3 linked regions of the Oryctolagus cuniculus genome follow. The protein of the gene in region 1 purifies or fractionates together with the protein of each later gene. This does not show direct contact. Links are inferred from orthologs where the notes say so. Each region holds a gene or a part of one and is shown in the gene's direction. Other genes may lie near its edges. The genes, in order: PSMA7, POMP and PSMG3.

Region 1 (7,557 bases):
TCGGTTACCACAGGCTACACCTGCCCGGCTCAGACCGGCTCTCCCCGCCGTCCACTCAGGGCCTCTGCACCTGCTCCACGCAGGCCATGCTCAGACCACTCAGAACCCCCTCAGCTGCCAGGCTTCCTGCTCTGTGCCGTGGGGGTCCTTCTCCAGACCTCCTCTGCACTCTACACCCGCTGCCGGGGGACAGCTGTGCGCCCCAAATTGGCAAGGTGTCCATGTCTTAAAGTCCAAGAGGGTCCCCGGCAGGGGGCACCAGGTATGGATGACGTCACACTGGATGACGCTGGCGCTAAGTCTGAGGCCGGGTGTTGTCACAGGAAGCGGGGACACGGACACAGAGGTGCCAAGGAAGAGGTAGCCACAGCCGGCAGCCACGCCTCCCCCTCCCAGGCCTCCCGAAGGCGCCGGCACCGCGTCTGTGGTCACTTGCTGGTGCTCGCCGGGTGCTGATGTGTCAGCTCACCCCACGCTCCCGGGGACAGGACCAGGGCTGCAGAAGTCCCAGTGCCAGGCCGGGGTCAGCCACTCGGGGCCCAGGCAAAGCCTCACAGCACGTGACGGCCAGGCCGGGGGGTGGGGGGGCAGGGGGCGGGGCTTCACAGCTGCACAGACTTGGCCTGCAGACCCCTGCCCGGACACGCTCAGAGGACAGCTTGTGCGCACCCCCCCTCCAGGCAGGCTTCTGAGGGGTCCCCGGCTTTCCTCGGTGCCTGCCATACAAGCTTCTGGCGGCCGCGGTGGCCACATCCTAGGCGCTCAGTCACAGGCCCCTGGGGTACACACGCACCGTCGAGACGCCAGGCTGCCCCGCGGCTCGCGGGCACGGACAGCCCGACGTGGAGGCCTGCTTCCCAGGGCCGGTGCCCGTCCGCCCTCCCTCCGCTCCGAGGTCTGCGGCCAGCAATGCTCACTCCCCTGCCAATGCGGGGTCTGGGCAGCTTCACTGGGAGGTGGGTGCAAAGCACAGAGGATCAGGCGCACGCTGAAGCCAACGGCGGCTGTGGGAGCAGGGACCGCTAGCTCCAAAGGAGCAGGGAGCGGGGCCGGCGCTGTGGCACAGCGGGTAAAGCCGCCGCCTGCAGTGCCGGCATCCCACATGGGCGCAGGTTTGAATCCCAGCTGCTCCACTTCTGATCCAGCTCTCTGCTGCGGCCTGGAAAAGCAGTGGAAGATGGCCCAAGTGCTTGGGCCCCTGCACCCGCGTGGGAGACCCGGAGGAAGCTCCTGGCTTTGGATCAGCCCAGCTGTGGCCACCTGGGGAGTGAGCCAGTGGATGGAAGACTCTCTCTCTCTCTCTGCCTCTCTGTAAGTCTGCCTTTAAAATAAATACATAAGTAAATAAATGAATGAATCCTTTAAAAAAAAAAAAAGCCAGGGCATCAGGACACCCCCAGAAATGCCCACACGTGCCCCCGGGGCTCGTGCCTGACGCTCTGCCGAGCCAAAGGCCGCGCGATGCGGCGCTGCAGCCACAGCCGTGCCGCAGCCACCGTCCACGGCACGCAGCTTTCCTGTGCTTCCGCCTCCTCAGCTACACGGGGGACGCTAATTCCACGGAGGACGCGGAGAAGACGGGCAAAGCCCGGGCCAGGCGTCGTGGCTCAGCAGGCTGGTTGCTGTCAGCTGTGTGCTACTGGCACACGGTGGAGGGGCCGTGAAGGGTGGCCCCGGGGCTTGGAGGCCTGGACGGAGCTGCAGGCTCCCGGTGCCCACCTGGCCCAGCCCTGGCTGTCGCAGGCTCGCCGGATGGAGAATCTCCCCCGCCCGGCGGCGGGTGCTCTGGTGCCGCGGGTTAAGCCCCGGCCTGCAGTGCCGGGTCCCACAGGAGCGCCAGTGCCAGTCCTGGCTGCTGCACTTCTGATCTAACTCTGCTGGGACAGCAACGGAACAACGCCCACGTCCTTGGGCCCTGCACCCGGGGAGCCGACTCAGATAAAGCCCCAGGCTCCCGGCTTTGGGCGCAGCTCCGGCCGTTTCGGCCATCTGGGGACTGAACCAGCGGATGGAAGACCTCTCCCTACCTCTCCAACTCTGTGTGTCAAATAAATCTCAAAGAGAAAGCGCACATTAAAAGATTCGCAAGGCTCTCAAACAGCACCTGCGACTCCACACCCTCGGAGGCTCCCGTCCGTCACCATCCCCGGCTCGGCGCTGCCCAAGGCCCCCCACTCGTGACAATCCCGTGGCGACAAGATCGGTCTCCATCTTGGTGACAGCCCGAGGACCACGTCCCCAGAGGCGGGCGCACCCCTCCCGGCGAACCCACAGAGTCCAGCAGAGGAACACACGCAGCCGCGCGAGGCGCCGGGCGCGTGCAGAGGGGCGCGGCGAACGCCAGCTTCCTTCCTTATCTGTCGGGCGGGGAAGCCGAGAACGGAACGTGCCCGCTCCCCCGCACCCGCGCGGCCCGACTCACGCCGAGGCGCGGGGCTGCACAGCACAGCCGGGTTCCCGGGCGCGGGGCACCCGCGTGCGCTGCGGGGCGCCCAAGCCCGCGCCGCGTCCTTTGTGCCCTGGGGGCTCGCGCCTCGCCGAGGGGCGTCCCCGAGGCCGGCCCGCACTCCCTCGCGCGTGGCCAGCGGCGCTCGGGACCCGGACCCCCGACACGGGCGCCGCCGCCGCCCTCTCCTCCCAGGCGGCCGACGCCACGCGCCCTCGCCCGCGCCCGCGGGTCTCCGCGCGCCTCCGGCAGAGTGGGCGTGGGCCCCCCGGGGAGCGCCGCTGCGGACGGCGGGCGCGGGGCCGCTCGGCTGCGCCCCGGCTTTGTTCGCGCCCCGCGCCCGCCGGCTGCCCGCGCCCCAGCCCGCGCGTGCCCGCGCCTCGCGCCCCGGCCCCACGCACCTTCTGAATGGTCTGCTGCGTGACCTCCCCTTTGCCCCTCGGCCGGGCGGACGCGAAGGCCACGGACATTGCGGCGACGCGGGGCTCAGCCCGTGACCATCAGGGCTTATTCCCCGGCTGCGCTCGGCCGCCCGAAGAGCTCATTCTCCGCAGTCGCCGGGGGGCGGGAGGCGCGGGGGACGCCGCGCCGTGGGCTCGCCCGCCCCGCCGCCCCGCGCGCGCCGCCGCGCCCGCCGCGCCGCCTCCCGCCGCCGCCGCCCCCTCCGAGGCCGCGCCTCGCGTGGCGCCCCCCGGCGGCCGGCCGGCGCCCCGCGCCCGCTCCGCCGCGCCCCGCGCCGCCCCCCCCGCCCCGCCGCCCGTGGTTAGGCCCGGCCCCGCCCCGCCCCGCCGCGCGCCCGCACGTCCGCCCGACGCCGTGACGTCACCGACGCGCAGCGTGGGCGCGGCGCAGGGCGCGCGCGCCGGCCGTGAGTGTGCGCTTTTGAGAGCGGCGGAGAGGGTGGCCCTGGGCCCGCGCCGCGGCCGCCGGCATGAGCTACGACCGCGCCATCACCGTCTTCTCGCCCGACGGCCACCTGTTCCAAGTGGAGTACGCGCAGGAGGCCGTTAAGAAGGGCTCGACCGCGGTGAGCCGCCGCGCCGGGGCCTGCGCGCGCTGGGGGCCCGGGCCAGGGGCGCCGCCGGGGGCCCGGGCGCGGCGGCGGGCGGCGGGCCTGGGCTCGGCCGGGGGCGCGGGCTGCGGACCGCTGCTCCCGGGACGGCGGCGCGGCGTCCCTTCGGCCGTGCGTGTGGCCAGCGGGCCGCTGGGAACCCGCGGGGCGCCGGCTCCGTGGCGCAGAGAAGGGAGCCGCAGCCCGGGCGGGGCCGATGGCGGCGCTGGGGCGCGCATGGCGTCGGAGGCCGCGGGTGAGGGGCCAGGCCAGTAGCCCGGGGTGCCTCTGGGTGCGTGCTTTCCGGTACGGGAGCGGGCCGTGCCCTGCACCTGCCGGCGGCGGGCCAGCCGGACGCACGGGGACTGTCCTGGCGGCTCCCGGAGTGATGCCAGGCCACTGCCTGCCCAGGTGGGCACGTTGAGCTCGGGGCTCAGGCGCCTGTCTCGTTCCCACCAGCAGCACCTGGGCGCACCTCGGGAGCGCGCGCGCATGTGGAGGAGGGGTGGTGTTTCTCACAGGAGGCTGGGGGGCCCCGGGCCAGGCCCCCGGGGGTGCGGTGCCTGGGCAGCGTCTGCCCCCTCGCAGACAGCGCCGTGGCGCGCGACGTTTTTGTCCCTTAGAATCCTAGACGTTCAGGGCCACGACGCGGATTCTGAGGTCGCCACTTCCTGGCTCGTGTGACCGCCTGCAATTAGGGTCCCAAGTCCAACTCTGACCTCCTCCCCACCCACGCTCGCTCGGGCGGACGCACAGCTGCGGCTCCCGGAGCGTCTGGCCGAGTCGGCACCCGGGACCTCCCTGGAAACCGGGCCAGTGCCCCTCGGCCCGCGGGCACTGCCGTGTGGAGCGAGACTGCTGCTGGCATGCCGTGGGCGGGGGCGGCTGCCCAGGTCGGCACTGGCCGGCGGGGCTGAAAGGCCCTGTGCTGGAGGGCGGGCACGCGCGGCGCCCACCGATTGCTGCGGTTGGTTTCTAGGCTGTTTGATTGACGTGTGGGATGGCCGATTCCTGAGGTTCCGGTGTGTGTGAGAGGCAGAGCCCCCACCCGCCGGCTGACTCCCCAGAGGCCCCTGACCGCCACCAGCCAGGAGCTTAGTCCGGGTCTCCCAGGAGGGGGGTGGGAGCTGCGCCCCGACTCTGATGGGGGCTCGGCGTCCCATGCCGAAGCGGCTCCCACGCCTGGTTAGGAGACGGGGAGGCCTTCATACTGCTCACGCCCCTTGGGCCCGCGACAGTGGGTGCCAGTCTAGGCCGGAGCCGGGACCCTGCGTGGGTCCATGGTCTGCAGCCTTGCCAGCCCAGCCCTCTGAGCAGGGGTGGGGAACCTGTCTCTGCCGGGCCGTTTGCGGTCGTACGGAATTGTCCACTTCATAATTAGCCTGCCGTGATTTATCGGATTTTGAATCCCACCCGTGGTTGCCTTGGCGGGCGGTGTCCGGCGACGGCTGACAGCAGGCGGCCCCTCCCTCGTGCCGGGAGGTGGCTTCACAGCTCGCCTGCGGCCGGCGCCCCTGTTCAGACTCCGGCCCACACGGCAGGTCCCTACCCGCAGTGCCGGGCCCGGGCTGTCGGGCTGTGAGCTGTGGGCTGCGCGGGTGAGCACAGCTCCGCGTGGCGGCTGCCGGCCACGCCCCAGGACCGTGTTGCCGTGTGCTCCTGGCGCCCCGCCTCCGCAGTTTCTCATGCGGGCCGTGGTTTTCATTGGAGGTTGGCGTCCGGGGGAGAGACATCGTCGTCCTTGGCGTGGAGAAGAAGTCGGTGGCCAAGCTGCAGGATGAAAGGACCGTGCGCAAGATCTGCGCGTTGGACGACAACGTCTGCATGGCGTTCGCAGGTGCGCGACCGGGGCCAGGGCCGCACTCAGGGTCCCGGTGGAACCTGGCTGTGCAGAGGGACGCGGGGCCCCGGGCTGTTGCCAGACGTCAGTGGATTCGGACTTCAGGAGTTAACTTGGGGGTTTTTCTGTCCCCCAAACACGAGCCCCGCCTGACCTGTGGCATGCAGAGGGCAGACAGGGCTGCCCGTGGCCAGCAGCAGTACACCTGCCCCGTGACGGGGAGGCACGCACTCGGCCCCTGCGCTCCCCCAGGGCGCGGGGCGGCTCCCTGACCTGGTTCTCAGAAGAGCCCCGGAGGCTGCTGGTCCCGCTCTGGCCGCTAAGGGCGAGGGGGGACCGTGCCCAGAGGTCAGGCTGCGGAGTAGCCAGGGTCAACGCCGTCCTTGCTCGGAGTCTCCCGCTCCTTTGCAGGCCTCACTGCGGACGCGCGCATCGTCATCAATCGGGCCCGGGTAGAGTGCCAGAGCCACCGGCTGACCGTGGAGGACCCGGTCACTGTGGAGTACATCACCCGCTACATCGCCAGTCTGAAGCAGGTGGGCGCCCGGGGTCAGCTGCGTCCTGCTGTCCACCGCTTCCCCTTGGCTCTCAGCGCGCGCTGGAGGGAGGAGCGAGGCCCGGCTCTGTCCTTAGCGGCGTTGCCAGGCGGGTGGGAGGGAGCCGAGAACCACTGTGGCGCGACGCCATTCGTCTTCCGAGCCAGCGTGTGGCCAGCTGGACGGCTGCCTGGCAGGAAGTTCCCAGGCGCTCAGTGCGTGCTGCGCAGTGCCTGGGCCTGGGCGTGCAGGTGCAGAACGGGCCGGAGGCGTGGGGGGTCTCGGTGCCTGCAGAGCGCCCCTGGCTGGGGCTCGGCTCGCGGGCGTCCTGCGCGGTCTCCCTGGTCCGAGCCCCGACCTGTTTGTGCCGCTCCAGCGCTACACACAGAGCAACGGTCGCAGGCCATTCGGCATCTCTGCCCTCATCGTGGGCTTTGACTTCGATGGCACCCCCAGACTCTACCAGACTGACCCCTCGGGCACGTACCACGCCTGGAAGGTGAGTCCCGCAGGGTGCAGCGGCTTCGGCAGCGTCCACTCCTCACGTCAGCGTTTGAGGTCACCGCGTCCCAGATGTACACGCTGCCTTGACGGTGGCTGTGTGGGAGCCAGGGGGCCGTGAGCACCAGATTGTCCTGCAGGACCGTGAGGGTGCGGGTGCAGGGCGGCGTTAGGATCAGTTAAGAATCGGCAGAAGGAAGCTGCCCACGGGGCTCAGCTGGTCACTCGGCATGGCCGCCCACGGGGCTCAGCTGGCCACTCGGCATGGCCGCCCACGGGGCTCAGCTGGCCACTCAGCATGGCTGCCCACGGGGCTCCGCAGGTCACCTGGAGCGGCTGCCCCTTGCCACAGCTTGCTCAGAGCAAACAGCAGGCCCCCTGGGGACACGGGCAGCAGGCAGCTGGACCCCTGGGCCACCGCGGGTGCACATCCGTTTCAGGCCAATGCCATCGGCCGGGGCGCCAAGTCAGTGCGTGAGTTCCTGGAGAAGAACTACACCGATGACGCCATCGAGACCGACGACCTGGCCATCAAGCTGGTGATCAAGGCCCTCCTGGAAGTAAGTGCTCGGGGTCCGGGAAACACGGTGGACGCCGGCCGCGTGGGCGTGGGCAGGGCAGTGTCCCGGTCCCACGGAGCTCTGGGCATATCCTTGCTAAGCTTTGAGAGGCAGTGAGCGATCTTCATCCCCTGGGCCACTCCCTAAACGGCCGCAGTGGCTGGAGGGGAGCTGACCGGAAGCCAGGAACCAGGAGCCTTGTCCAGGTCTCCCACGTGGTGTGGGGCCCAAGGACGCGGGCATCCTCCACTCTCCCAGGCCCTCAGCAGGAAGCTGGATGGGAGCTGGAGCCCGTACGGGAGCCGGCACTGCAGGGGGAGGCCTAGCCCGCCGTGCCACAGCGCGGCCCCTGCTTTCTACGAGTGGCGCAGGTGGGATGTGACCCCACCCCTCGGCGGGGAGTGTGTTCTGCGCATGGCCCGAACTTGGCCTTCCAGGCCTGAGCTGCGAGGGGGGGAGCTAACCACACTGACAGCAGTGCCTGGCGGGGCGAGGGTCCAGCTCTGTCCACACCTGCCTGGCGAGGCGGGGGTTGCTAAGTGGAGGGGCGGCGCCATGAGGGACTCACGGGCGCTGTCTGGGCCCTCTGTGGGGCGAGGGATCTCATGTCCTGTCGTCTCCCC
Region 2 (7,614 bases), on another chromosome or scaffold:
GATTCTGTCCTGGTTGCTCCTCTTCCAGTCCAGCTCTCTGCTGTGGCCCGGGAAGGGAGTGGAGGATGGCCCAGGTCCTTGGGCCCTGCACCCGCATGGGAGACCAAGAGAAGCACCTGCCTCCTGGCTTTGGATCGGCGCAGTGCGCCGGCCGTAGCGACCACTTGGGGGGGGGGGCGGTGAACCAATGGAAAAAGGAAGACTTTTCTGTCAAAAAAAAAAAAAAAGAGAGAGAGAGAGAATTGCTGCAGAAAACAACGGAACTTTGGTGCACTTTTCTGTGTCATGAAATCTTGTGCTCCTGGGGGCATGATCTATCACTTTGTCCATGTTGCACATGTTACTTGCCTGTCACTTAGTAACCATCCTGGTTATCAGATTGACTGTTGAAGCACCACAGTGCCTGTGTTCAAATAACCCTTATTTTACTTAATAACAGCCCCAAAACACAGGAGCAATGATGCTGACAATGCAGACAACCAAACAGAAGTCATAAAATGCTTTCTTTGAGTGAAAAGGTGAATATTTTTTATTTAACAAGGAAAAAAAATCACATGCTGAAGACGCTAAGATCTATGGTACAGAAAGTTGTCTGAGGGGCCACACTCATATAACTTTTATAATAGTATATTACTATAATTGTTCCATTTTATTATTATTCTCTTACTGTGACTTTTATAAATTTTATCCTAGGTATTGATATAGAAGAAAAACACAGTACACATGTTTCAATTCTGCAGATATTTCGGTGATTTAATATTTATTTCAAAATCAGCATAACTTGTAGCTTTATTGCTTAAGTTTGTGTAGGTGTCCTATATATAGGATGGTGGGACATAATGGGCTAACATCGTTCTCCGTTCCTAGCAATCTGGTTTCTTCTCCCACCATTTTACTTACATCCCTCAACAGGTCGTACAATGATCTCCAGTTTGCCAAATTCCATTGTTTTTCCCATAACTCTTGACATCACTGGTCATTCCTTTATCTAGATATAATACATTTTGTGGCTCCTGAGACATTCCTGAGGTCTGAGACACTTTCCTACTTCTCCATGTCTTTTTCAAAACCTTCTAGCTTCTACCAAATTGTAAAAACTCCCTATTAGATTTTAAAACCTGCCTGGGTGCCTGCCCCCTGTGTACAGGACACTGCTGTGAAGATAAAACAGCCTGTGGGTAGGGTTTGGTCTCAGACAAAGAACAAAAGCAGCAAGGGCAAGTGTAATTCAAGGTTCTCAGAGAGCACTAAGATTTCAGCCCTAGGACAAGATGAAATACAGGAAGAGGGCCCATACAGGAGGCAGCCAAAGGTCACCAATGGGGAACAAGCTAGAACAAGGGCGAAGGGTTCTTGCCAGATGCTGTGAATGTGGCTTAACTTTTGTAAAAAGATCTCCACTAGGTCCCATTGCCCTCACGGAAACATCCCAAACCTCAGCACATCAAGTAAGACCCCTTGTTTCGGCCCCAACCAATCTCATCTCTTCTTATTCCTGCTGCTCACCCAGGACTCCAACATGGAGTTTTCCACTGCTCAGAAATCCCCACCTTCCCATGCTTCCTCTTCCTTGAATACCTTTTTTCTCTGTTCCAAAATACTTGCTAGCTCAATTCCTTTCTCTATCAAGCATTTACCATATACCGTAAATATCTGTTCACATGTCTATCTCCCCAGGAAAATGTCCGTTTCTTCTATATAGTTCCAGAATCTAGTACCCAGCAAATGCTCCACAAATATTCATTGAATGGTGATCAATAAACAAACACGAGTCTTTGTTAAAAAAAAAAAAAGAGTTCTAGTTTTAAAAACTTCCCCTGAGGTGGGACTGACTGAAAGGGAAAAGATACAAATGAAACATTCAAGCTCAAATCTCAAGGAAAATATGAATATTCCAGAGGAGCACAAGTTATAAAAACAGCAGTAGGGAACACAGCTAGATTATCCCAGTAATGCCCATGCCTGTGCACAGAGTAATAACAAATCTCTTTCACCTCCCCCTCCAATCTCCTTCAATGGCTTTTAAGACAATGGTTTCACCTTTAATCTGGACGGCATAAAAAATGTAGGCCCCATCTACTTTACTCTCTGAACATCAGCTAGCCAGGCCTTCTCCCTCAGTTCAGTTTTCCCCCAGGCACACCTTCAGGTGAAGTTCTTCCTACTGCCCCAAATGACTCCTGTCTTATCCTTTGGGTCCCCGGCACAAGGATTCCTTAAATTGTCTCCATTACATGACAGTCAAGCAAAGATCTTATACTGTAGCTGGAAGACAATGCAGTATAGCGGTGCTACTATGACATTATGCTCTGGGCCTCTGGGTGTATTTCTTCAACCGCTTTCTCTCTAGGTTTCCTCGCCTACACAACTGGGTTTAAGAGTGGTACCTGCCTCAAGGTACTGAAAAGGCTGAGGGGGGTAATTCCTGTAAAACACTGATCGTTGTGTTGATACGTAATTGTGGGAGCCCAATATGTCAATCAAGATTGCATTTCACCACTCCCCCCCCCCCGCCCCGTCCCCGCGGCCCCTTCCTCTAGCCCAGGGACATCAGCCTGATTCTTTGGCCTCATCAGAGTGTTCTGAACACAGGCCTTCGATATATGTTTAAAAATAAATAAAAATCTTGTATTCTGCTTCCGGCACTCTAGATGAACGACCTCAGGCAAATCACTCAACCCACCTAGACCGCATTTACCCTGTGCAAACGGCAATGGCTATTAATAAAGCGGAGTCCGCGTCTTCCCTCCCCGCCGCACGTCTCGTCCCGAACCCGCCCTCCTCCCAGCCCACACCCTACTGCGCCCTTGGCCCTTGCTCCCTCGGGACAGCAAGCGTGGGAGCCTAGGCCCCGCGCGACTCCCTCCCCGCACCCCGCGCCCTTCTTCCTTCCTCGCCCGGACGGACGCACTTCCGGCGGATGTAGCGGGGCGGCCCCCGGAAACGGAAGTGAGCGCTGGGGCAGGCTGACCGTCACGGGGCTGAGGCTCGTCGCTGAGCGGGTTGAAGATGGTGAGTGAGTGCCTGGGCAGCCCGAGGGCCAGGCGCCCCCGGGAGAATGGCCAGGCAGCAACGGATCGCTCCCCTCAGCCTGTCCCGCGGTAGTGGCGGCGGTAGCGTGGGGATGAGGCCGGCCTCGGAAGCCATGAGAATCTGTCGAGTCACGGGGTTGGGGCGGATGGTGGCCGTCGCCGGGCCCGGGTCTGACGCTAGTGTTGGAAGCAGCGATTGGGCTTTATCCTGTCCCTTCTCCCTGTCCGACTTTTCGCTTAGTTTGCGCCTTCCCAGCATGCCCAGGGCCCTTCCCCGTGGTGGGTACGCGGAGCAGGAACGTTCCGTGGGGGTGGCGCCGCAGACTACACCGTCCCTGATGGGAAAACCTCCGCTAGCCCGGGGTCTGCAAGCCACGGCCCCCGCCCACATCCCCGGCCCTTGTAGCTGGTTGATAACCACAATTGTAGAGCGCATTTGTATAACCCGGTTTTACTCCACAAACATCTATGAGAGTATGCAAGGTGGGGGGGAGAGGGGTGGGAATCAGAGTTACTCCTAGTTTGCCAGGGTCTTTTCCTAATCCACCATGACTGCTTGTAGGGGGGGAGTTGGAACCTGTTGTTCAAGTCCTTCGATTCTGGGCTAAGGATTCTGGGCTTTATCCTGCAGACATTGGTGAATGAATGAAAAGTTCTGTAGTAGTTGTTAGTGGAAGGGGCGCTGTGTTTTAGGAAGCCTTGCTGCGCAGACCTGGAAAATGAGTGAGTGTAAGATAGCAGGACCTCCTAGACTGCTGTTGGAATCCTCCATTTGTGAGAGTCTGGACCAGATAAAATATCTGGCCAAATAAAATACGTGTGAGTCATGAAATGAATAAAGATGTTGGCTTCTTAGCTCGCCCAGCATAGTATATCAGACTCAATAACCAACTGCCTGTAGCTATGTCACGTTTTTCCGCAAAATTGCAGGGTTATTGTACTTGAAAAGTCGTGATTTAAGGTCAGCATCCTGTGTTTTACCTGTGTCACACTACATTTTATTTAACCTTGTTTTTATTAGATTAAGCCCTTGGGAAGTAGACATGTTCTCAGCACCTAGCAGGTTACTTAATACATAAAAGGTGCCCAGTAAGTATTTGGTGATTGCAAGTTTTATAGTGCAGAAGTGTAGTTGATTATGCATCAGTGTAATTCCCTGCAAATCAGATTTTATTTTGTTTTATCCTATCCTGATTAGATAAATTCATTTTTTATAGTTAGTGCTTGCCTCTTATAGAAGCTAAAGACTTCCTGAAAGTCCCCCTTTTTCTTTGCTTCTATGACCTCTCTTTTCTAGCTATTCTGGCTGTTGTTAATCCCATTTCTTTGGCTCTTTCTTTGTCCGTAGGAATGATATTCCCCAGGATTCAGTCCTCAACCTTTTCCTTCTTTGTTAAACATCCCAACCTAAGGGAGCATTGTTGCCAGTGAAAGCAAACATGATCATAACGTAACCCTTCTGAGACTCAATTGCATAAGACCCAAATTTCTGTGCATCTGAGGCTTACCGTTTTTTCATATTCTCAGCCCTTACTTCTGCCCCATTCATCCAGATATTTGGCCAGTCATTCCAGACTACTTGTAGCTTGTTCTCTTACACAGTTGACCCTCCATGTCCCCAGGTTCTGCATCCTCAAATTCAGCCAATGCTGGGTCAGAAATATTAGGGGAAAAAAATTATGTCTGTACAGTACAGAATATGTACAGACTTTTTTTTTCCTTTGTCATTATTTCCTAAACGATGTTATATAACAACTATTTACATTGTATTAAGTATTATAAGTAATCTTGAGATGGTTTTAAAGGTTAGGGGAGGATATGGATAGGTTACTTGGAAATAGTGCACCTTTTTATATTAGAGACTTGAGCATCTGTAGAGCTTGGTAGTTGAAAGGAGTCCTGGAAACAATCTCCCATGGATGCTGAGGGAGAACTAATATTTTCATACTTTTATGCATATTGTTATTTCTTTTCTTGGAATGCCTTTCAGTTTGGCAGTCCAGGAGTCCTCTCCACCCCGAAATTTGGTTCTTACACCACACATGCCCCTCTGCAGTAATGCTCAAAGCCTGTAATTATTTGCCTATAGGCTCTTTGAGGGCAGAGACCTTATCTTTTCCTTCTACTGCTTAAACAGTGTTTTTTTTTTTTTTTCTGTCAGTGTTCAGTGTATGTGTGCTTAGTATCTGTTTTGTGTTTAATAATAGTGTTTTTTTTATTTGTGTTGTAGAATGCCAGAGGACTTGGATCTCAGCTGAAGGACAGTATTCCAGTCACTGAACTTTCAGCGAGTGGGCCCTTTGAAAGTCACGATCTTCTTCGGAAAGGGTATGTGGAGAAATTGTGACTTCAGCTTTGTTAGAGTGAAATGCGTCTGTGAAACATACTTTATAATATTCTTTAAATACTTTGCTGTACCGTAAGTGTGTGTGTGATCTGGGACGTGGTAAACAGTAACAGCATGGGCTAGGAAAGAGTCCGGGCTGTTTCCTGCGGTGGAAGAAGCTGGTCGTTCCAGGATAGGATAGTTTGGTGTGTAGTCGTGTGAATTCCTGGAACTGTCTCCACAGCTGCAGTACAGAGCAGTTTCATCCCACCCGAGTAGCTGGCTCGCATCCTGGCGTTCTGGTCAGACCCTTGATGTGTACGGTTTTGATCTTAGTACTGTGATATTTACTGTCTCTTTTTTTTTTTTTTTCCAGCTTTTCTTGTGTGAAAAATGAACTTTTGCCCAGTCACCCTCTTGAATTATCAGAAAAAAATGTAAGTATGTTGCCTATTTTTATTGATACTTGGATGGTTTCATTTTAGTAAAACAATTCTGCTGCTAAAGCTTTGACTGTGAAGAATATGAGGTCTTATTTTCCACCTCCTTATAGGGTAGGCTTTCAAATTATTATACTGTTTTACTAAAAGTCCCTTTCTATGCATCCTTTCCTATCTTTTTTATGTACATCTCTAAAGATTGGTCCACCTCTCAATTCCTCTCAGAATAATTTTCTCATCTGATACTTGTGTTTTCTTATGCATTTTTCCCTTGATACTTTTACTGTTGATCTCCAAAGCCGTATCTCTAGCCTTGAACTCTTTCTCAGGTTGTGCCTCTCAAAGTTAGTAAGGAATATATCCACCAGGCACAGTAGGTGCACAGATGTGACATAATCCCTTCCTTATGGAATATACATTTTAGTAGGGAAGACAGGCCGGCGCCGCGGCTCACTAGGCTAATCCTCTGCCTAGCGGCGCCGGCACACCGGGTTCTAGTCCCGGTTGGGGCGCCGGATTCTGTCCCGGTTGCCCCTCTTCCAGGCCAGCTCTCTGCTGTGGCCAGGGAGTGCAGTGGAGGATGGCCCAGGTGCTTGGGAGACCAGGAAAAGCACCTGGCTCCTGGCTCCTGCCATCGGATCAGCGCGGTGCGCCGGCCACGGCGGCCATTGGAGGGTGAACCAACGGCAAAGGAAGACCTTTCTCTCTGTCTCTCTCTCTCACTGTCCACTCTGCCTGTCAAAAAAAAAAAAAAAAAAAAATAGGGAAGACAAGCAGTTGAGAAGAGACTTCATAATGTGCTGAAGAGGGCCAGGAATGGGGCAGCCACCCATGCGTTGGGCCTTTGGAGGGCTTTGTAGAGGAGGGGACGTTGGAACAGTTTAAGGCCAGTATTTACCAGGTGTGTACTCAGAAGCCACTCCCACTCATAGGAGATAATAAATGTAGATGTTCCAAAGGCAAATTAAATGTTTTAGAGTATGTTTAGGGCAAGAAGAAGGAGTAGATCACTACAGAAAGATGGCAAAATGTGACCCAGGTAACTGAAATATTGTCAAGGCTGTTTTCTGTTGTTTTTATTGTTGGGGTCTTTGTTTTGTTTTGTTTTTGCCTTTTTAGCAAAAGGAAATACTTTTCTATAAGAAAGAGTAGAATACATGATGTAATTATGCAGTTGTGGTTCAGATAAGAAAATCAAGGAGCTCTTAGTTTGCTTTAATTGCATTCAGGTTTCAGGCTCAGAGGAGATTTACATGCATATGAATATGAGCACGTATGATTTTAAAACCATGCTGATCACCTCTGAGGAAGGTGGAGAAATAGTCCACATTTCTAAAAGGGATACAACTGAAAAAATGTAGATTATCTGTGGTGGCATTGGTTCCTGGCAGTGTTCTTAGTGGGTTACTAAGGAGGTGACCGTGACTGTTTACTAAAGTAAGTGGTGATTTCCAGCACCTAAGTGAGCTTAAAAAACGGTAGTCTTAATTCACTCTTTTATCAAATTACCACATGAGTTCATCAAGGGGAGGAGTGATCTGACAGGGTAAGCATGATGATAAGGGGCGGATTGTGGGCTGACTGAGAGGGCTGCAGAGCAGAATGATTTGCTTGACAGCTGTGCTGAGTGGTGACTAAGGAATTGTTGGTTTACAGGGAGTGTTTAGGTAGGGGTCTTGAGCCTCTACATGTCTCAGAGAGCAGGGTGACTACTAGGAAAGACTTGAGGAGAGCATCAGAAATATAAGTGAGGTTTTTTGGGGAAAAGCCTAGTAGTTCATTTCGAGGAATAATTGAACTGTGTTGCTGATGACAA
Region 3 (6,979 bases), on another chromosome or scaffold:
CATCCTGCCCCCTCCGTGCTGTGCCGGGAGGGTGCCAAGGAGAGAGATTATCACTGCCTGCTACCACGCCAACACCACCATGGAGCCACACACAACCACGGAGCCACACCACAACCACGCAGGGGACGCTGTGTCCGTGAGACCAGTTCCCAGGCAGACCCTTGGCGGGCCTGGTGGTCAGAACAGCTGAGAGCAGCCTCCAGCTGAGCCCGGGGTGTCGTGGCTGCCCAGGCCTGGAGCCACCAGCACCGCCTGAGTCCTGGTGGCTGACCCCACATGCTGTGTCCACTCTGGGACTGGAGAACACTGGTTAATGATAGGCTTTCTTCTTCCCTGGAGAGGCCGGGACGGCAGACAGACAGCTCCCACGCACTCCCCAAATGCCTGCCAAGGCTGGGCCATCCGGGCCACCCCTGCTGCCTCCGGGGACCTGCGCTAGAGGAAGCTGGTCAGAGCCGGAGCTGGGACTTGAACCCAGGAGCTCCAATATGTTGTCCCACAGAGCTCCCTGCTGTCTGCAGCAAGCTCAGCCGCCCAAGCTGCGGCCCCCAGGGGACCCCCCCAAGCCCCCAGGGCAGCCCCCAGGGGACCCTCCAAGCCCCGGGAGGCAGCCCGATGGCTATCTCCATCTTCAAGCTAAAAACCGGAGTTGCTCCAAACTCACAGAGGCTCTGACTGCAATAACCCTCCGTGAGGACCTGCCACACCCCGAGTCCCTGCCGTGTCCAGGTTCCGTCCGTCACCCGGGTCCCCACCACCGCAGGGCCCATGGAGAGACGAGGGGCCGTGTGGGGGTGCAGCGCTGGGGTACAAGAGGGAGCCCAAGCCAGGGGGGAGCGTGGGCAGGGCTGCCGAGGCTGAGTGAGCCGAGCCCACGGTGCCCAGGGAAGCTGGTGTGCCCGGGACACACAGCTCTGGGGGAAGACAGGGACGCCCGCACAGCCCCGGGAACACGCACAGCCCCGGGAACCAGCCCTGGGCGCCCGCACAGCCCCAGGAACCCATACAGCCCCCAGAGCCAGCCACAGGCGCCCGCACAGCCCCAGGAACCAGCCCCGGGCACCCACACAGCCCCGGGTGCCCACTCAGCTCCAGGAACCAGCCCCGGGCGCCCACACAGCCCCGGGTGCCCACCCAGCTCCAGGAACCAGCCCCGGGCGCCCACACAGCCCCGGGTGCCCACTCAGCTCCAGGAACCAGCCCCGGGCACCCACACAGCCCCGGGTGCCCACCCAGCTCCAGGAACCAGCCCCGGGTGCCGACACAGCCCCGGGTGCCCACTCAGCTCCAGGAACCAGCCCCGGGCACCCACACAGCCCCGGGTGCCCACCCAGCTCCAGGAACCAGCCCCGGGCACCCACACAGCCCCGGGTGCCCACTCAGCTCCAGGAACCAGCCCCGGGCACCACACAGCCCCAGGAATCAGCCCTGGGCGTCCACACAGCCCCCAGGAACCAGCCACAGGCGCCCACCCAGCCCCAGGAACCAGCCCCGGGCACCCACACAGCCCCAGGAACCAGCCCTGGGCATCCACATAGCCCCAGGAACCCACACAGCCCCCAGGAACCAGCCCCAGGTGCCCACCCAGCCCCAGGAACCAGCCCCGGGCACCCACACAGCCCCGGGTGCCCACCCAGCCCCAGGCGCCCGCACAGCCCTGGGAACCAGCCCCGGGCGGCCACACGTGTGGGAAGGGTGCTAGGTGATGCCCTCTCCTCCCCTCCCCCAACTGCGATTGCTACTAGGGTTTGTTTTGTTTTGTTTGTTTTTTGACAAGCAGAGTGGACAGTGAGAGAGACAGAGAGAAAGGTCTTCCTTTTCCGTCGGTTCACCCTCCAATGGCCGCTGCGGCCGGCCCATCGCGCTGATCCGAAGCCAGGAGCCAGGTGCTTCTCCTGGTCTCCCATGGGGTGCAGGGCCCACGCACTTGGGCCATCCTCCACTGCACTCCCTGGCCACAGCAGAGAGCTGGCCTGGAAGAGGGGCAACCGGGACAGAATCCGGCGACCCGACCGGGACTAGAACCCGGTGTGCCGGCGCCGCTAGGTGGAGGATTAGCCTAGTGAGCCGCGGCGCCGGCCTCTACTAGGGTTTCTTGAAGATGAGACAAGTTCCAGATATTTTCATATTTTTTTAAACTTTTTGGGGGAAGCTTTATTTATTTGCGAGGTAGAGTTACAAACAGTGAGAGGGAGAGACAGAGGCCTTCTATCTGCTGGGTCACTCCCCAGATGGCCGCAGTGGCCAGAGCTGCACCGATCTGGAGCCAGGAGCCTGGGCGCTCCGGGTCTCCCACGTGGGTGCAGGGCCCAGGGACTTGGGCCATCTTCCTCCGCTTCCCCCGGCCACAGCAGGGAGCTGATGGAACCGGCGCCCACAGGGGATGCCGGCACTGCAGGGGGGCCCCATCCTACACTGTTCAGGGTGACTCCCCAAACTCTCTCACCCCAATACTGGCCCTACTCCTATCTGGGTCCCATTCTGAGTGAGCTCACCTGAGGGTCTTTTTCTAATTACCCCTCACCCTGGAGGCCGGTCAATGGCGGGCAGGCCCCTCCCCCACCCCACCATCACCCAGGCCACCAGGAGTCCTCTCCCTGGACAGAAGGACTCGGGCCCCGGCTTCCGCCAGGCTCCACCCTGAGCCAGACAAGGACCTGCTCATCAGGGCTTTCCGCCTGGCCCCCGCCTTCCCTCCTGTACCGGTGTGGAGTGGGTTCAGCAGCGAGACACCTGCAACAGGTGAATCCCAGCGAGCCGGCCCCTGCAAGGTTTCCCCCGGCGCGGGCGGTGGCCAGGTGGGTCAACTTACAAACAACACAGACTCGGGCTTCCCAGGGACACGACCCTGCCTAGGGGGCCTGGGCACCCGCTTCCCCTGCAGGGACCGGCCTCCTAGGGGCCGCCGCCTGCAGCACTGGCATCCCAGGTGGGCGCCGGTTCGAGTCCCGGCTGCCCCTATTCCAGTCCAGCTCTCTGCTGTGGCCCGGGAGGGTGGTGGTGGATGCCCCAAGTGCTTGGGCCCTGCACCCGCGTGGGAGACCGGGAGAAGCACCTGGCTTTGGCCTGTCGCGGACACCTGGGGAGTGGCCAGCGGACGGAAGATCTGGGAGAGCCAGGGCGCCTACCCGGGCCTGGGAGCGGGAGACGCCGCCGCGAGCCCCGCTCACCGCATCGCAGCACCGGCTGGGTGCGCTTTTGCTATCACAGACCCCACCCCGCGGCGGCCCCGCGCCCTCCTCCTGGGGACGCGGGCCCCGCACCCGCAGCCCGGGACACAGCGACGGCCCGGGAGCCCGCTCCGCGCCCAGCCCCAGGGTCGGCCCGAGAACGTCGGCCCCGCGGTAGCCCGGCCCGCGCAGGACCCCCGAACCTCTCACGCGCCGGCCCCTGGGGCCGGAAGCCGCGCGCTGCACTTCCGGCGGGGGCGGGACTTAGGGGCGGGCCCGCGTCCTCCCGCCGAGCCACTTCCGGCGCGCCGGGCCGCCGGTGCCGACTGCGGGTCCGCTTCCCGGGGTCGGTGGTCGCTGCGGGCCCGAGAGCCTGGGGACTGGGGGAGGGGCGGCTGCTCATGCCGGTGCCGACTGCGGGTCCGCTTCCCGGGGTCGGTGGTCGCTGCGGGCCCGGGAGCCTGGGGGAGGGGCGGCTACTCACGCGGGTGCCGACTGCGGGTCCGCTTCCCGGGGTCGGTGGTCGCTGCGGGCCCGAGGGGCTGGGGGAGGGGCGGCTGCTCACGCCGGTGCCGACTGTGTCTCTCCCAGTCGACCCCCAGCGGACGCCAGCCAGCCAGCCAGCCATGGAGGACAAGCCGATGGTGGTGTCCAAACAGAAGACGGACGTGGTGTGCGGGGTCCCCACGCAGGTGGTCTGCACCGCCTTCGCCAGCCACATCCTGGTGGTCGTGACCCAGTTCGGGAAGATGGGCACGCTGGTCAGCCTGGAGCCCAGCAGCGTGGCCGGCGACCTCAGCAGGCCCGTGGTCTCCACGAGGGTCCTCCTCGGGCAGGACGAGGTGAGGGCGGGCTGGCTGCAGCTGTCCCTCAGGACGGGGGCGGGGCCCCCCGCGGAGGAGCTGGGCCGCTGGGAGGTCGCACTGAGCTGCTGCGGGCTGGGGTCCCTCCGTGCGGGCGGGGAGCAAGCGGCCTGCTCTCCCCCTCCCCCAGCCTCTCATCCACGTCTTCGCGAAGAACCTGGTGGCGTTCGTGTCTCAGGAGGCCGGGAACAGGGCCGTGCTGCTCGCCGTGGCCGTGAAAGACAAGAGCTTGGCGGGGCTGCAGGCCCTGAAGGCGCTGATCCGGCTCTGCCAGGTGTGGTGACCCCGGCTGCGCTGCGGTGGCTTGGACGCTGAACGGGGCGGAGGGCGGGCCCTTGCCCTGGCTGCGGACCCGGCCCGGGCGCAGGGCCGGCCTGGCGCTGGCCCCTCCCGCCGGGTGCCCAGGCGCGAGGGCTGGCGCCGGACTGCCCACAGGATATTTTTCTAAATTAAAAGTAAACACTTCCCAACGTGCTTCAGGGTCCTGACGAGGGACGGTGGCAGGGCGGGAGGTGACCCCCAAGCTCAGCGTCCCTGTCCGGGTGGACTCCAGAAGCCCCCAGGATGCCCTTCCTGGGGGCGGGGCCATCGCCGGGTGCCCCCAGACCTGCAGGTGTGGTGAAGTCAAACGTGTGCCCGAGACGGGACAGAAGGAATCTTTGTCCGGCCGCGGCCCCTGCCTCAGGGGAGCCCACGGTCTCTTCTAGGGCCCCCCCCAGCTGCTGGGGTACCTGTGTCGCTGACGCCCTCTGCAGGAGTCGGGAGGGGGGCCCGTCCCGGCCTGTGCCGCGGGGAGGGGCCACTGAGGCAGACTGGTCCCTGGCAGGCGGGACTCCCAGGTCACAGTTCCACGGCCTCATCTTCTGCCCCTGCTCCCTGCGTGGGGTGGGGGGTGCTGCCGTGCCAGGAAGGGAGGCCCAGCGCCTGCTTCCTTTAACATAGGGGTCGGGGGTCAGGGTCAGGAGCTTGGACGGGCCCGGGGCTGCGGCCTGGGCTTGAGGTGTGGCCGCTCCGCCCGCCCCGGGCGTCTCACAGGTGAGGAAGCTGAGGGCCGGAGCGGGCCCACTGTTCCCCAGTTTCTGTTCCTCCGTGGTCCCCGTGCCCCGGCTCCCGTCTGCCAGGCCCCGGTGGAGCCGGGGAAGTCACTCGCCTGTACCAGCAGCACCCTGAGAGCCGGGCCCTGCTGGTGCTGTCTGCCCGGGTCCCCGACCGCGGGCCTAAGGGCGGCCCTGTGACTGGTGCTGGGACAGCCGGGTTCCCGTGCCCCCTCCAGTGTCCTTCCCCGCTGCCCAGAGCCATGGGGCGTTAGAGGAAATGGCCCAGTCGTCCGGGCTCCGGCCGCAGGCGAGGGGCGGCAGCTCCCAGATTCGCCGCCCCAGCTGTGGTTCACACAGCAGATGTGGGCATGCGTCCGTTTCGGACGGGGGGGGGGCGCCGGGCTGCAGGCTCCCCGGGTTCCCCCGGTGTCCTGCTCGCTGTGGGGCACGGGCCTGGGTACTGCCGAGATGGCTCGGGGGTCGACTGTGCTCGGCTTGACCTAGTCCTCAACACCCCTCCCCAGCCGGAAGTGACAAATCGCCCCGGACGACGAAGGGCTCGGTGCTGTGGGTCAGCGCCAGGGAGCAGCGCGGCCCACGCTGCCGAAGGGCGGCCTCTGCTGTTGGGTGAAGCAGGGCTGGGGAGGCCTGGGGGCGGCGGTGGCGGGACGAGCCCGTCTGCTGGTGTTGGCGAGGACGCCTGGGGGTCCACTGGGCTGCGAGGCCAGGAGCTGCGGCCCCACACGCATGTGGCACACATGACGGTGTGGAGGGGATGGGGCCAGGAGCGAGAGGCAGAGGGGTCGGTGAGGAACGGACGCCCGCGGCAGGACACAGGTACACGCCCACGGCCACCCAGGAGAGCCCGGGGGCCCAGGGCTGCGACCTGTGACAGGTGTGGGTGGGGCTGGCGAGGCTGGGGTGGGCAGAGCCCTCACCGCATGCCGAGAGCCGGAGCGCCGCAGGGGCCAGCCCACGTCCACCTGTGGATCCCTGACCCCTGTGCGAGAAGCAGACGGAGGCCGGTGCTGGAGCCCGGGAGGGGGTGTGCAGGGTGTGGCCGCGCAGCAGCTGTACCCAGGCAGGTAGGGCCGGGCGGGCCGGCAGGGCTGGGAGGAGCTGCTGGGTGTGAGAGAGGCCGGGCTTCTCCGGGAGCGGTAGTCCCCTCCCTGGCAGCTGCGAGGAGGGGCAGCAGAGCGCTGGGCCCCCAGGCCCCCCACAGCCCCCCGCTGAAGGCCTGCCACAGGTGGGGCGGCCGAGAGCCTCCAGGGAGGTGAGTGTGTGCGCAGGGCGTGGGGGCCAGGCTGGCATGGGAGCCCCTGCAGGGAGGATCCGCTGTTGGACTAGGCTCCCGGAGACCCCCCGGCTTCTCCTGAGAAGGGGCTCTGGCAGCCGGGTCAGCACCCCGTCCCCAGGGTCCAGGACGCCTGGACGGCCCTCCCAGGCTCGCTGTGCGCTGGGGGAGGGGCAGGGCACAGCTGCAGGAGGCGTGGGCTGGTGGGGCCGGGATCCGCCCTGCGCCCCCGCCTGTCTCAGCCCTGAGCTGGAAGCAGAAGGGCCGCCCACGTCGTGGGGACACCAGGCGGCCAAGAGCCAGCGCCGCCCGTTCCGGCCCCTGCCAGGCAGCCTCTGCCCGGGTCTGATCTGCCTGGGGCCGCCCAGGAAGGGCAGGTGGCAGGGAGGCCAGCCTGAGTGCCACCACGGGACGCTCAGCTGTAGGGGCTGCACCTGTCCAGGTGAGGCGGGCATCATGGCCACCAGGCGGCAACGCTGACTGCACACCTGCGGGCGGGCTCCAGGGGAGTCCCAGAGCCAGGGCGGCGCCCGCCCGCCCCACCCCCGGAGGGGCGGCCACTGGGTCAGGGCCATCCATCATGCTGCCCGAGACAGTGCGCCAGCTGCTTGGCTG

Evidence for each region.
Region 2: the proteins of PSMA7 (region 1) and POMP purify together in Homo sapiens (co-immunoprecipitation; 4 studies listed by BioGRID and IntAct, with this or other methods). This does not show direct contact. The link is inferred for Oryctolagus cuniculus from reciprocal best matches to the Homo sapiens genes PSMA7 and POMP.
Region 3: the proteins of PSMA7 (region 1) and PSMG3 purify together in Homo sapiens (affinity purification with mass spectrometry; 3 studies listed by BioGRID and IntAct, with this or other methods). This does not show direct contact. The link is inferred for Oryctolagus cuniculus from reciprocal best matches to the Homo sapiens genes PSMA7 and PSMG3.

What each region holds. Positions count from the first base shown.
Region 1 is NC_091442.1:1,218,626-1,226,182, forward strand, and holds the start of PSMA7 (proteasome subunit alpha type-7), read left to right. Parts: upstream 1-3,261; 5' UTR 3,262-3,377; coding exon 3,378-3,473; intron 3,474-5,207; coding exon 5,208-5,334; intron 5,335-5,748; coding exon 5,749-5,873; intron 5,874-6,249; coding exon 6,250-6,372; intron 6,373-6,814; coding exon 6,815-6,934; coding exon of another isoform or gene 6,935-6,961; intron 6,962-7,557. Other genes in the region: SS18L1 (calcium-responsive transactivator), read right to left, coding at 2,848-2,916.
Region 2 is NC_091440.1:85,851,525-85,859,138, reverse strand, and holds the start of POMP (proteasome maturation protein), read left to right. Parts: upstream 1-2,818; 5' UTR 2,819-3,009; coding exon 3,010-3,012; intron 3,013-5,262; coding exon 5,263-5,360; intron 5,361-5,734; coding exon 5,735-5,795; intron 5,796-7,614. UniProt on the Homo sapiens protein: Molecular chaperone essential for the assembly of standard proteasomes and immunoproteasomes. Degraded after completion of proteasome maturation. Mediates the association of 20S preproteasome with the endoplasmic reticulum.
Region 3 is NC_091450.1:36,700,971-36,707,949, reverse strand, and holds PSMG3 (proteasome assembly chaperone 3), read left to right. Parts: upstream 1-3,443; 5' UTR 3,444-3,571; coding exon 3,572-3,590; exon of another isoform or gene 3,591-3,685; intron 3,686-3,761; coding exon 3,762-4,012; intron 4,013-4,163; coding exon 4,164-4,316; 3' UTR 4,317-4,507; downstream 4,508-6,979. Other genes in the region: TMEM184A (transmembrane protein 184A), read left to right, coding at 5,439-6,343. UniProt on the Homo sapiens protein: Chaperone protein which promotes assembly of the 20S proteasome. May cooperate with PSMG1-PSMG2 heterodimers to orchestrate the correct assembly of proteasomes.